2 linked regions of the Caenorhabditis elegans genome follow. The protein of the gene in region 1 interacts with the protein of each later gene in a biochemical or structural test. Each region holds a gene or a part of one and is shown on either strand. Other genes may lie near its edges.

The links. Proteins that work in one complex are often made in the same cells at the same time.
Region 2: of the proteins of gpr-1 (region 1) and gpa-16, one has a biochemical effect on the other in vitro, tested with the Caenorhabditis elegans proteins (one study listed by BioGRID).

What each region holds. Positions count from the first base shown.
Region 1 is NC_003281.10:8,625,146-8,632,387, forward strand, and holds gpr-1 (G-protein regulator 1), read left to right. Parts: upstream 1-3,780; 5' UTR 3,781-3,811; coding exon 3,812-4,059; intron 4,060-4,110; coding exon 4,111-4,611; intron 4,612-4,661; coding exon 4,662-5,269; intron 5,270-5,321; coding exon 5,322-5,542; 3' UTR 5,543-5,631; downstream 5,632-7,242. Other genes in the region: Homeobox protein engrailed-like ceh-16, read left to right, coding at 700-855; polk-1 (DNA polymerase kappa), read right to left, coding at 1,260-1,595, 1,678-2,187, 2,238-2,593, 2,642-2,876, 2,945-3,097, 3,151-3,351; DnaJ homolog dnj-10, read left to right, coding at 6,030-6,123, 6,189-6,292, 6,344-6,424, 6,471-6,626, 6,729-7,019, 7,069-7,242. UniProt on the Caenorhabditis elegans protein: In the 1-cell embryo, probably together with gpr-2, controls nuclear rotation and spindle elongation during mitosis. Complex of gpr-1 and gpr-2, in association with lin-5, activates G-protein signaling to affect mitotic spindle force.
Region 2 is NC_003279.8:894,562-902,121, reverse strand, and holds the start of gpa-16 (Guanine nucleotide-binding protein alpha-16 subunit), read right to left. Parts: upstream 4,837-7,560; 5' UTR 4,833-4,836; coding exon 4,767-4,832; intron 3,944-4,766; coding exon 3,773-3,943; intron 1,510-3,772; coding exon 1,322-1,509; intron 1-1,321. Other genes in the region: him-19 (FBD domain-containing protein), read left to right, coding at 7,023-7,198, 7,259-7,440, 7,493-7,560. UniProt on the Caenorhabditis elegans protein: Guanine nucleotide-binding proteins (G proteins) are involved as modulators or transducers in various transmembrane signaling systems. In the 1-cell embryo, probably together with goa-1, controls nuclear rotation and spindle elongation during mitosis.

The sequences.
Region 1 (7,242 bases):
GACAATGCTCAAAAAGTTGATAATTAAGGATCGATTTTATAATTTTAATTTCGTGGGGATTACTGTAGGTGATACTTTTAAACACACAGGGTGGTCTTGTCCGAAAAGGTAATTAGTCGTTTTTTTTTTATTGTCACACTTATTCACTCAAAAAACACGTTTCCCTTTTGTCTCCTGTCAATGAGTTTTTGTTTCAAGTCAAAAAACGGCACGCGACATACCGACACCTTGTATGGGGTAAGATAACCATCACATTTTATTAGGGGAGAGAGAAGAATTGAAATGACATGGGACAATTTGAAGACGAACATTTGAAATTTGAATATTCACTGAATAGATTTCAAATAGGACTTCCACGAAGGCATATGTATATTACCTCTGTGTACTTTTGCCATAACTTACGCGCGGTGGTATTGCCACGCGGAAAGCGGATAACAGTAACTCGTGTCGATCAACAATTGCAGCATATTATTCAATTTTAATATTAATGAAAATTTTAAAAATACGTGTAAACACTATCAGAGGCCCTTAGATTTTACAGTAATTCGTTGTCCGCGTAGCGAGACCTTGCGCGTAAGACATGGCGAAATTATCATCTTTAGAAGTCTATGTCATTGGAAAGTTGGTAAATTAAAACCACCCGAACTTCTAAAACTTCTTAAATTCCAAATAACAAATTTAAAAAAATATTAATTTCAGAACAAGCGTGCCAAACTCAAAAAGTCGACATCTTCTGTTCCAAGAGATCGATGCTCCTCCGTCACTCCAAATCCTCATAATCATCCGTCAATTCATGGAGGATATCAACTTATGGCTCAGTTGGCAAAGGTTCAGGCTCGAGCTTACATGCCATGAAATATTGATTTTTGTTAGGCGGTTACGGTAGGCCTTGTCTACCGTAATCCTAAAGTATCCCGGTAATAACTTTCTAGTTACTTTATCAAATTAGTGATATTCTCCTCTAGCCAACTAGTCTTCCTCCATTCATTTTTTTTCGTTTAACTTTTTCTCTCGACCAGATCTTATTTGAAATCGAAATACCTCAACATTCAGTTCTCCAAAAAAATCAAAATTTCCTCCACACACGTGTCTCCTCTTCAATGCTATATGAATTATCTCATGACTTTTCATTGTTTTTCTTTTTTGAATAAAGTTGATTTTCATTCAAACGATTCATGACAATATACACATGGATAACAAAAATTAGAAGGGGATGTATAGATTAATCACAGTTAGTAACAGTTAGAATTATATTCTTTTTAACCACTTTTCTTCCAAAATGAGTCGATTGTCACCATTTTCTTCGCTTTTGGTCTCTTCTCTTGAAGTTTTCGCTTTTTCGTAGAAGGTCTTTCTGGTTTCTGCGTTGATTTATTTTCCACAGAAACGCAAATTAACTCGGGTCCGTCATCGTTTTGCACTTTCAGAATACACTCATCGACGTGGCAGTTCATAACGTCTAAACGATTTTCGACATCAGTTCCACAAATGGGACAAGGACGAGTATCCATCATTATGACATCATCATCGTCGACGTTTTCCGATCCTTGTAGATTTTGAATTTGAAGTTTTTTCTCATTCCAAAACTCTGTGATCTGAAATAAAATGTCTCAAAAAAATAGAAGAAAACATTGCTTTATATTTATCAGTTATGGTTTTCAAAATTTTCTGACATACCGTTTTGCTTCTTTTTTTCTCATCTTCTTCAAATATCAATTGTGATAATCTGACTCCTAACAATCGAATTTCTTTTCCTTTTTCTTTTTCCAACAACTCCAGTGAGAACTTTTGAATATCTTCAAGTGACTTCACCACATCAGAAGGTGTCAACGATCTTGTGAGAACATCGAATGAAGATAATTTTAATTTTAGAGTTACAGTTTTTCCTCCGACAATTCCTGATTTACGAACATCTTCTTCAAGCATTCTACAGATTTCTTGATGCTCTTCTAGGAGGATGTTGAAATCCGAAGTTGGAGAAAAAGTTCTCTCAACTGAAATGCTTTTTCTTCGTGGATCCGATTCAGATGGACGACCTGGCAGTCCGAGAGCCGTTCGAAGGAAAGATTCTTGTGAGAGAGGCGTGAAACACAAAGGGTATAGGTTCTTCTTCAGATTCATATCACCAACAGTTTGAATATCCATTGCTTTCAGTTGAGCTTCGCATACACGACCAATTCCTCCAACCTAAAAAATTATCTAGGTAAAACTAGAAGGTTATGCTTTAATAGTCTCACCTTACGAATCGGTAAATCCTTCAAAAACTCCATAATCGCGTTTTTATCATTTTCTAACACATATTGACCATTTGGTTTGTTCAAATCAGAACAAATCTTAGCGAGCATAAAGTTAGATGCGATTCCAGCAGAACATGTTAATCCCGTGAGTTGTTCAACTCGAAATCGAATTTCTCGAACAGCCTCCTCTCGTCCAGTTCCGAACTCCACATGGTCGTAGTAGATTTTCCGCGATTTTTCGCATTTTGGACAGATCGATTCTTCGATTTTCAAGTCTTCCAAAGTATTTTCATTCTCGTCGAAACGGGGTAACCAACATGGACAATCTCCGCCGAATCTGTGACGCTTGAAGGTTTCTAGTAAGCAAATAGTTTTTTGTTAATAATCAAATCTAAATCACTAACTTTTTTCTGTATTACTTGCCACATAGTCTGTCAAATCTATAAATGCCTCATCCAATGACATCATTCCAACATCCGAATCGTATTCCATGAAAATTTGTGAAAATTGGCGACTGACTTTAGTGTATTTAGGGTAATTTCCTGGAACAATCGTTAGACTCGGACAAAGTTTATTTGAGATGAAGCCAGGCATTCCAGCACGGACTCCAAAACGGCGAGCCAAGTAGTTGGATGTGCTCTGAAAGAATAGATTTAAAGCTTTTCCGAAATCGAAAATTTACTTTTCAAATTGAGTTAGGTGCTTACCAGCATTGCCGATGAGCCTACGGCCATAGGAACTGTTCTCAGTGCAGGATTATCTCTCATTTCAACTGCGGCAAAATAAGCATCCATATCTATACAAACACAGTCTCTTGATAAATCTCTAGATGATTCCAGTTTCATCTCAAGATTCTCCATCTGAAAATTGGAAATTTGCTCTAAGTAAATTTATTAGCTTTTAAAATACATACCAGTATCTCAGATTTTTGTCTTTCTTCTCTGGTTGCTGTTTGCAAACGATTTTTGATTTCTAAAACTTTCTCTTCAATTCTTGATTGTTGTTTTTTGGAAAACGACGAGTAGGACGCTGATGTGTTTTCTTCGATGACTTTCGTGATTTTCTCCTTATCCAGTCCATTCATTCCAGCTTTATTATCGTTGAAAGTCAGCATTTTTCACGAAAAAGAGCCGGATTTTGAAATTCGCGGAGAAACTCCACTGATTGTGAGTGTGCAAATGCGCGTAATGGTGTACTTACGTACATCGGCAACACATTTGACGACATATCAGAAAGCGGCGCCAAATTAGAAGTTGAGTGCGCGAGAAAAAACTACGCGTTAACCGCCAATTTTCACTTCCCCACAGATCTGTCTCGAGATTCTCGAGTCATTTTTCAAGTTTATTTGTTTGTCAGCGGTTGTTTTATTGAAGATTTGTAAAATTTATAACAAAATGTGCAATAGTCTATTAAACCTCGTGAGATATTTGAAGAAACTTTCCCCGTTTTAAATATTTCGTGTATTCGTGGAGATCGCGGGAATGTTTTGCCTGTTTCCGTAAAATTCCTCTATTTCTTTTATTTTTGCTTGCAATTTTCGATTCATTTCAGAAGTTTCCACATTCGCAAAACGAATGGACGTCTCTTATTACGATGGTCCCAAGGATGAAGTCGCCGAAGCAATGCTGAAAAGCGCGGTGACGGCCATGAGATTGGGACAATACGAGGATGGAAAAGGACGCTTAGAGGAGATAATGGAGTTCGGAACCTCAAATTTTCAACTACTTGGTACAATCTACATGTATTACGGAAGAGTGTGCAGGCATTTGAACCATGATGCCAAGGCCTTGGAGTTTTTCGAACATGAGTTGAACATGTTCAAGTAAGTGAATCACAAAAATGAGCTGGACATTCTATAACCTTAATTTTTCAGATTGATCTTCAACTACCCAGAAGCATGTGATTCCACACGTCGCATCGTCGAGCAGGCACTCAAAATGGGAAAGTTCCCCAAGGCTCGACGGTTTGCTGAGGATCTCATTGATTACACCAGCAATAAGAAGAACGGAGAGAAGTATATCGGTCAAGCTCGAATTTTGTTCGCTTCCGTGTGCCTCGAAGGATGTGAAAGAGACGTCGAGAGTAATCAAGATGAGAAGAAGAAGCTTTTGTCAATATGTGCTGAACAGATTGCAGCCGTGAAATTGTTCAACGAGAATAATACGGAAGGAGCTGTGTCTGAGACCAAAATCATGTTACTTGAGGCGAAATGCTTGTCACTAGACGAAAAATACGAGGAATCGCGTCGCAAGTATCAAGAATGCATCGATTTTGCCATCAAAACAGACCAGTTTGAAGCAGTTCACATCGCCTATTACGACAAGGCTCTATATGCTGAGACAGATCTTCTTTTCTTTATTATCAGAGATCTCAGGTAATTTTTAGTTTTAACGATTAATAAAAATATCAATTCTTTATTCACAGAAGTGCTCTCTTCTACGCCACGAAATTCGGAAAAGAGCGAGATGTAGTCAAATATAAGTCGAAGCTATCCGAAGAGATGCTGAGAAATGGCGAATTCCACGAAGCATATCTCTACGGATTGGAAGCGCTTGTATCGATTCGGAAGCTTGGATTGAACGAATACATTGGAGATGTGTTGCTTACAATCGCAAAGTGCCTCATTGCACTTGGAAAAAGACGCCAAGCTGCTTATTTTATCATCTTGGGGAGTGTTCTGACCATCAACCAAAACAGTTTCAAACTGTTCTACGAGCAGATCGACGTGGCGATGAATCAAGAGAGAAGCGAAACGGCAACTGATCAAGATGTATGCCTCGCAATTGATTCGTCTCCTGATCCGACATCCTCGAATGACATGATTAATAAGTTCGTCGTCGAACTGGAGCACGCAACAAATGTGGAAACCTGGGAAATGATTGTCAACGGAATCATTGACGACCAGAAGAAACCAGTGGCGATCGAAAAGAAAGAGAACGAGGAACCCGTAGACATGATGGATCTCATTTTCAGTATGAGCTCACGTATGGATGATCAAAGAACTGAACTGCCTGCTGCCAGATTCATTCCGCGTAAGAAATGTTATAAATAAGCGTATAAGTATGCAAATTTATATTTTTCCAGCTCGTCCAGTGTCATCGGCATCGAAAAAGACTACAAAGAGTCACAGAATCCTCCCTGGACTCCGTGCCAATTGGACAAAAGTGCAGTCGATGAAGTTCGATGGTCACACAATGAATAGGATCCTGAAGAGGTCGAAGAAAAGCAAATCGTCATTGGATTCTACAAATTCGATGCAGGGCGATGATACTCGAAGCGATGATGTGACAATGACGTCCAAATAGGACCATTATTTTTTCTGTCAAATAATACAATCAAACTTTCTTTATTTATTTTTTTTTTACTTTCTTTCAGTAAATATTATTATCATTTTAGTGGTTCTTTTATTTTATTTGCTGGTCAGAAAAGCTGATTTTTTCAATTAGCGAAAATCCATCAAGTCATATTTCTATAGACTCTTTACTACATACGTTGATGACTTTCGTGATTTTCTCCTTATCCGGTTCATCCATTCCAGCTTTATTATTGTTGAAAGTAAATAAGCATTGTTTCCCGAAAAAGAGCCGGATTTTGAAATTCGCGGAGAAAAAGTTGAAAATTGAAAAATCCAAACGATGCTCCGATGTTCCGTCCGAAATGTGTGTTTTACCGTGACGGTGTTTGCAGACAGCTTGAAAAAACATTTATTTTTTTATTTTAATTTTATTAATTTATTATTTATTTTAGAATGTTCTATATTTTAAAATGTGAATTTGTTTCAGGGTACTCGGAATGTTTGTCTTAAACCGTTCAAGCGGGCTCATTCATCGATCTGTACCTTTATTAGCTCAAGTATCCACGCCTACGACTTCCACAACAAAATTAGGTTAATAATTCTCCATTTGGTGATAAACCAATTCTTTTCTGCTTTTTTAAAACATTATGTTACAGCTCAACTTCACACAACGCATGCACTAAGCAAAGAAGATTATTATAAGACTTTGGGTGTCGACAAAAAATCTGATGCAAAAGCAATCAAAAAGGCTTATTTCCAGGTAATATAAGTTTTTATCGAATACTTTGTAAGTATAAATACGTTATTTCAGCTTGCCAAGAAATACCATCCAGATGTAAACAAAACAAAAGAAGCGCAGACGAAATTTCAAGAGATTTCTGAAGCATATGAGGTATTTTCAACAAACAATAGAGCAGGCTCGAATCAAAAATATTAAGGTACTTTCCGATGACACAAAACGTCAAGAATATGATGCATACGGAAGCGGAGGTGGCCCAGCTGGTGGAAGAGGTGGTGCTGGAGGTTTCCACCACCATGGAAATGTTGATGTTAACGAAATTTTCAGAAGAGCATTTGGTGGAGGGGGTGGAATGGTGAGTTCTCCTTATGAATTCTTCTGAATATTATATTAATTATATAATTTTTATTGTAATTAATAAAAACTACAGTTTTATTTATTTTTTCGCTGATTCCAGGGTGGCTTTAATTTTGATAATTTTGCCCAAAGTGCTTTCGGACATTCTGCTGCTCAGGAAATGGTTATGGATATTTCGTTCGAAGAAGCTGTCCGAGGAGCCACCAAAAATGTTTCTGTAAACGTAGTTGAAGATTGTCTGAAATGTCACGGAACTCAAGTTGAACCAGGTCACAAAAAGACGTCGTGTCCGTATTGTAACGGAACTGGAGCAGTTTCTCAACGTCTTCAGGGTGGTTTCTTCTATCAAACAACTTGTAATCGATGCAGAGGAAGTGGACATTATAATAAGGTAGAGTTATTGATTTTTCTTTTATTGTAGCTTTTAATTTTTTCTTCAGAATCCTTGTCAAGAATGTGAAGGTGAAGGTCAAACCGTTCAACGACGTCAAGTATCATTCAATGTGCCAGCTGGAACTAATAATGGAGATAGTTTGAAGTTCCAAGTGGGGAAAAATCAATTATTTGTTCGTTTCAACGTTGCACCATCTTTGAAATTCCGACGTGAGAAAGAT
Region 2 (7,560 bases), on another chromosome or scaffold:
AAACAACACGCGACGCGTAACATCGGAGCATCGTTGTTACGTTTTTCATCGAGAAAACCGCAGTTGGCACGGTGCCAGATCCTGAAAACGTAGATCTTCTTTTTGAACAGATCTTCAAAACGTGGTGCCTCAAAAATCTCAGTTTTTGCCTAATTCCTATTTGAATTACCGCCAATTGGATTTGTTCGATGGAGCGCGCTTGCACAATTTTAAATTTATTTATTTTATTTTTTGTTATTTTCCACCGATTTTTGATGTTTTCGGTGTATTTTTGCTTGAATTTTAGAGAAAAAGTCAAAATAATTGCAAATTTCTGATTAAAAAGCACGCTTACAGGCGTAAAAATGAAAAAGTAACGCTTTTAAACGATTTCGAACCTAAATTAATTAATTTCACTGATCTACGCACGCGTACAGGCGTAAATCAGTGAAATTAATTAATTCAGGTTTGAAATCGTTTAAAATCGTTACTTTTTCATTTTTACGCCGGTCAGCGTGCTTTTTAATCGAAAATTGCATTTATTTTGACTTTTCCCCTAAAATTCAAGCAAAAATACACCGAAAACATTAAAAATCGGTGGAAAAAACAACAAAAAATAAAATAGATTAATTCAAAAATGTGCAAGTCCATCGAACAAATCAAATTGGCGGTAACTCAAATAGGAATTAGGGGGGAAAACTGAAATTTGTCCAATTTTCAAAAAATCATATAAAATCGCGGAAAATTTTTCTGAATTTTTTCACATCGATATTCGGGTACAGGGGAAAATTTAGAGTCATTTAAAAATATTTCCCAGAAATTTTTTTTTCGAATTTTTGACAAAAATTGTTTTTTTTTGGTAAAACTATTTTTGTGTGGGAATAAGAGTCAGAAATAGCCAAAAAATTAAATATTTCTGAATTTTCCCGGATTTTGAGGGAAAAAAAGCTATTTTCTAGCGGAAAAGGGGCTCCAAAATTTTTTTTTTAGAATTTTTAGCGGTTTTTGAAAGTGTGAGCAAAAAATAATTCGATTGATTATTTTAAAATATTTTTTTTTTTGGAATTTTAAATTTTAATTAGCTCTAATAGATAATTTTCAACGAATATCAACGAATTTTTCATCGAAAAAAGCGGTAATTTTCAGCGAATATGACCTAAAAAATCGATTTCATTGAATTTTTCATGGAAAAAACGCGAAAAATGCTCAAAAATAGTCCAAAATCGCAATTTTCTGGGATTTTAACGATTTTTTCATGGAAATAAGCTAATTTCCACCGAAATTTCTCGATTTTCAGCGAAAATCCCTCGAATTTTCTCAATTTTCAGCGAAATTTCGCCACCTTTCGAGCGCTTTCTGAATTCCCGAATCGGACCAAACACTCTTCATGAGCACGACGAGCTCTTCGGGCAGCTCATCCTCTTCGCCTGTTGTGCTGAACATTAGAAGCTTTCGGGCATCTGATTCGTGATCGAGTGTGGTGAAGCTGATTTTTAACTGCTCCATAGCGTGGATGATGGCGTTGAGAGACTGGAAAATTGGACGGTTTTGGGGTGAAATTCGAGGGAATTTTTGGGTTAAAATTTGGGGGTTTTTTGGTTAGAAATTGAACATTTTAAGCTGAAATTGGGGAAAATTGGTGTAATTTTTTTGGCCAAAATTAGGGATTTTTCGCCTAATATTTTAGATTTTTTTTGGAAAAAAAAGAGCATTTTTGGCTATAATTTGGTAAATTTTGTGCTGGAATTAGAGTTTTTTTTTGTCAAAAACAGAGCATTTTGGAGTAAATTCGGTGAATTTTTTGGGAAAAATTAGGGATTTTTTACCTAATATTCTAGAATTTTTGGTAAAAAACAGAGCATTTTTGGCTATAATTTGTTTAATTTTTTGGACAAATTTAGGGATTTTCTCTTAATATTCTATTTTTTTGGTAAAAAACAGTGAATTTTTGGCTATGATTTGGTGAAGTTTCTGCTGAAATTAGAGTTTTTTTTGTCAAAAATCGGTGAATTTTTGGACAAAATTAGGGATTTTTCGCCTAATATTTTAGATTTTTTTTGGAAAAAAAAGAGCATTTTTGGCTATAATTTGGTAAATTTTGTGCTGGAATTAGAGTTTTTTTTTGTCAAAAACAGAGCATTTTGGAGTAAATTCGGTGAATTTTTTGGGAAAAATTAGGGATTTTTTACCTAATATTCTAGAATTTTTGGTAAAAAACAGAGCATTTTTGGCTATAATTTGTTTAATTTTTTGGACAAATTTAGGGATTTTCTCTTAATATTCTATTTTTTTGGTAAAAAACAGTGAATTTTTGGCTATGATTTGGTGAAGTTTCTGCTGAAATTAGAGTTTTTTTTGTCAAAAATCGGTGAATTTTTGGACAAAATTAGGGATTTTTCGCCTAATATTCTAGATTTTTTTTGAATTTTTGAGTAAATTTGGTGAACTTTTTGCTGAATATGGCAGGTTTTTTTAGTCGAAAATTGGAGAATTTTGAACAAAATTGGCAAATTTTTCGGCCAAAATTAGGGATTTTTTGGCCAAAATTTGTGAATTTTCTCCTAATATTGTAGGTTTTTTTTTTGTGAAAAACAGACAATTTTTGAGTAAATTTTGTGAATTTTTTGTTGGAATTGGAGTTTCTTTTGTCAAAAATTGGTGATTTTTTAGCCGAAATTAGTGATTTTTCGCCTAATATTTTAGATTTTTTTGGTAAAAATCAGAGAGTTTTAAGCTGAAATTGGAGGTTTTTTTTGTCAAAAATCGGTGAATTTTTAGCCAAAATTAGGCATTTTTCACCTAATATTCTAGATTTTTTGGTTAAAAAGAGAGAATTTTTGAGTAAAAATGGAGAATTTTGGGCCAAAATTAGGGATTTTTTGAATAATTTTTTAGACTTTTTTGGTTAAAATTTGGTGGATATTGGGTAAAATTGAAGAATTTTGAACAAAAATCGGTGAATTTTTGACCAAAATTAGGTTATTTTCGCCTGATATTTTATAGATTTTTCTGTTAAAATTTGGCAAAAAAATTGGTGAATTTTCAACAAAAAATAGGAGAATTTTTGGTAAAAATTAGAGTTTTTGGGCGAAATTGGGTAATTTTTGGTTTAATTGTGTAATTTATGCATTTTTTAGCCAAAAAAGGGAGAATTTTGAGCAAATTCGGTGAATTTTTTTGTCAAAAATTGGAGAATCTTAAACGAAAATTGGTGAATTTTTTGGCTAAAAATAGCGAATTTTTTGGCTAAAATTAACGGATTTTTTGGCTAAAAATAGCGAATTTTTTGGCTAAAAATAGCGAATTTTTTGGCTAAAATTAACGGATTTTTTGGCTAAAAATAGCGAATTTTTTGGCTAAAATTAACGGATTTTTTGGCTAAAAATAGCGAATTTTTTGGCTAAAATTAACGGATTTTTTGGCTAAAAATAGCGAATTTTTTGGCTAAAATTAACGGATTTTTTGGTTAAAATAGCGGATTTTTTGGTTAAAATAGCGGATTTTTTGACTAAAATTAACGGATTTTTTGCCTAAAATTAACGGATTTTTTGGCTAAAAATAGCGAAATTTTTGGCTAAAATTAACGGATTTTTTGGCTAAAAATAGCGATTTTTTGGCTAAAAATAGCGAATTTTTTGACTAAAATCAACGGATTTTTTGGTTAAAATAGCGAATTTTTTGGCTAAAATTAGCCGATTTTTGATTAAAATTAACGGATTTTTTGGTTAAAATCCACGAATTTTGGTCAAAATTGCCAATTTCCTGTCATTTTTCAGTGCATCGGAGCACTGACCAAAATAATATTTCCATAAACGACGCCTCTGAACACTTTTCTCTCTTCAGTCGTATATCCGACGTCGTGAATGATACGCATCTGCTTTAAAATCGTCGATTTTCCAGACTCGCCGGCTCCCAGGAGCAGAAGCTTGATGGTTCGCATTGAGTTCTCGCCGTCTTCTTTGAGCTGCAAAAAAATTTGGGATTTTTAGCCAATTTTTCAGGGTTTTTTTTTCCAAAAAAAAACAACAATTTTATTGATTTTCAGGCAATTTTTGAATTTTTTTGAAATAAAAATCTAGTTTTTAATGCAAATTTTGGGATTTTTGGACTTTTTATAAGCGAAAAACTGTTTTTCGTGGTTTTTATTGATAATTTTTCAGGTTTTCTACAAAAAAAAAAACTTTTTTTAAATTGATTTTTAGGCTATTTTACAGTTTTTCCAGAAAAAAAACCGATTTTTTATTGCTTTTTAGGTAATTTTTCAGATTTTCTAGATAAAAACCAATTTTTTGATAATTTTTCAGGTTTTCTCACACAAAAATCGATTTTTTGTTGATTTTTTGGCAGTTTTTCAGATTTTCTATTTAAAAAATCCAATTTTTTATAGATTTTTAGACAATTTTTCAGGGTTTTTCCCAAAAAACCGATTTTTTATTGATTTTTTTCGTAATTTTTCAAATTTTCTCCCAAAAAATCGATTTTTATTAATTTTTTAGACTATTTTTCAGATTTTCTACAAAAAAAACTGATTTTGAGTAGATTTTTAGACAGTTTTCCAGATTTTTTAAGAAAAAAAATCCGATTTTTTTATTGATTTTTATGAACTTTTTGAATTTTTTAAAAATAAAAATCTAGTTTTCACTGCAAATTTTGCGATTTTTTGAGGTTTTCGAGCAAAAATTCTAGTTTTTAGTGAAATTTTTCGGTTTTTGAAGCAGTTTTGATGATTTTTCTATATTTTTTCACAAAAAATCGAGTTTTTTCAACGAAAAATCCCCAATTTTTACCAATCGATCAATCTTCTTGGATCTTCGTTTCGCTGCTTCATCCTCCTGGCTCATAATACACCCCATTGCGCTGAAAAAAAAGGGAATTTTATGTGAATAATATCGGCGATTTTAGGTGAAGAAAGTTGAGAAAAATGTAAAATTCTGTAGAAAATGGCTAAAAAATGGGGTTTTTTCGGCTTTTTTCAGAATATTTTAAGGTTTTTGGGCAATTTTTATTGAAAAATTGACGATTTTTGTCAATTTTTGCAATATAAGAGCTCAGAAATGCTCATTTTTGTCGAATTTTTAGGTGAAAAACGTCAAATTTCAAGGAAAAACCTCAAAAAACATGCCATTTTACTCAAAATTCGAAATTTGTCAGTTATTACAAGATTTTTAGCGTTTTTTTTTTCGGAAAAATGCTCTAAAATTTAAAATTTTTATTATTTTTCAGCGAAAATGCTCTAAAAATTCAAGATTTTTAGTATTTTTTCAGAAAAATGCACTAAAAATTGAGATTTTTAGCATTTTTCCGAAAAAAATGCTCTGAAATTCAAGATTTTAAGCATTTTTTCGAGAAAAATGCTCTAAAATTTAAGATTTTTAGCATTTTTCATTAAGAATGCTCTGAAATTCAAGATTTTAAGCATTTTTTCTGGAAAATGCTCTAAAATTTAAGATTTTTAGCATTTTTCCGGGAAAATGCACTAAAAATTGAGATTTTTAGCATTTTTTCTGGAAAAATGCACTAAAATTCAAGATTTTTAGCATTTTTTCCGGAAAAATGAGAATTTTTCGCTGAAAAATGTCAAATTTCACTCAAAATTCGATATTTTTCAGACTTTGAGGTTATTTTTTCTTAAATACAAAATGAAAATGTCGAATTTGAAATAAAATGATCTAAAATTTAAGATTTTTAGCATTTTTTCAACAAAAAAGCTATAAAAATTAAGATTTTTAGCTTTTCTCGGGAAAAATGCTAAAAATCTTAAATTTTAAAGCATTTTATTTCAAATTCGACATTTTCATTTTGAATTTTTTTTCCGCTAAGCACTAAAATTCAAGATTATTAGCATTTTTCCGGCAAAAATGCACTAAAAATTGAGAATTTTTCGCTGAAAAACGTCAAATTTCACTCAAAATTCACATTTTCAAGGCTTTTAGGTTAATTTTGGGGGAATTTTTTTCTCAAAAACTAAATGAAAAATGATAAATTTAAAATAAAAGGCTCCCAGAAAAAAGATATATATTGCTCGTCATATCGGATGCCGCAGACGCGCAGAGAAGTGCTTTACACAAACAATTGCAACATTTTTGTGTTTTTCTCTGCGCAGGGGCTTCGAGTTAATCGAAAATACATGATTAATTGGGAAAACTGGCACAAAAATTGGCCATTTTTAATGAAATTCGGCAATTTTCGCGATGAAAAATGCATTGAAAATGATGTTTTCCGCGAATTTTCGCTTTTTTCCCGCCGTATTTGTTTCTTGTTTCTTGTGAAGTGGAGGGGGCAAAAGCATGGGAAAACTCTGAAAGTTTAAACTAGTTTGAGCATCTTTTAGTGCGAAAAAGGCGTTAAAGAAGGGATTTTCAAACATTTTTCCGAAAAAAATGCTAAAAAACTTAGATTTTAGAGCATTTTTCTTGCAAAAAAATGATTAAAATCTTGCATTTTAGTGAATTTTTCTGAAAAAAAGGGCTAAAAATCTTAAATTTTAGAGCATTTTTCTGAAAAATTGCTAATAATCTAAAATTTTAGTGCATTTTTCCGAAAAAATGCTAAAAATCTGACGGTTTCTGTGCAATATTTATTGAAAAATTGGCGATTTTCATCAACTTTTGCGACAAAAGAGCTCAGAAATGCTTATTTTTGTAGAATTTTTCAGTGAAAAACGTCAAATTTCAAGGAAAACTACACATATTTGATGTAAAACCTCGGAAAACATGCAATATTACAACAAATTCGAATTTTTTCAGTCTTTGCAAGATTTTTAGCATTTTTTCCGCAAAAATGCTAAGAATCTTAATTTTAGTGCATTTTTTGTGAAAAAATGCTAAAAATCTGCAATTTTAAAACATTTTTTTCGGAAAAAAATGCTAAAAATCTTAAATTTTAGAGCATTTTTCCGAAAAAATTGCAAAAAAACGGATAATTTTCAAGAACTTCTGGGATAAAATCGAAAAAATTGATCAAAAATTAAAAAAAAATCAATCGTGGAACAGGATTTACGAGCTACCGTACTTCAATTCGTCTCTTCCGTGCGAGACCCGCGCATGGTTCCCAAGCGTGTACTCCTCTCGGACATTGATTTTTATCGAAATTTTTTGTTTTTGATTTTTAATCATTTCAACTTCGAAATGGCTAGTTCTGTGACAACTTCTTTGAATTTTTCAAATTTGGAAAGCCCAAAATCGAATTCTTCGTCTCTTTTCGAAGATTCGCTGTTCAGGTTGGTGGAAAAATTCGGTGAAAAAAAAGATTTTGCGACAAAAAAAAAAAGGAAAAACAGCAGTTTCAGATGGAAAAGAACGCCGGAAAGAGCACCATCGAACAACGAGCTCGTCGAGCACGGCGATCTGGAGAATTTCGAGTACTCTGAACCGTTTGTCATCAAATTTCACAACATTTGCAAGGGTGGCGGCGAGCGGGTGAATGGGCAGCCAAAAATGGACGTCGCGTGCCAGTTGGATGGTGATTAAAAGAGCTGTAAACCCTGGCAATTCTAAAGTGTTTGCTCTCTCAGATTTCATCGAAGTGCCCATAAAGGATGCTGAAAATTGTTTGGAATGTATGACTGATGATCGAATTCTG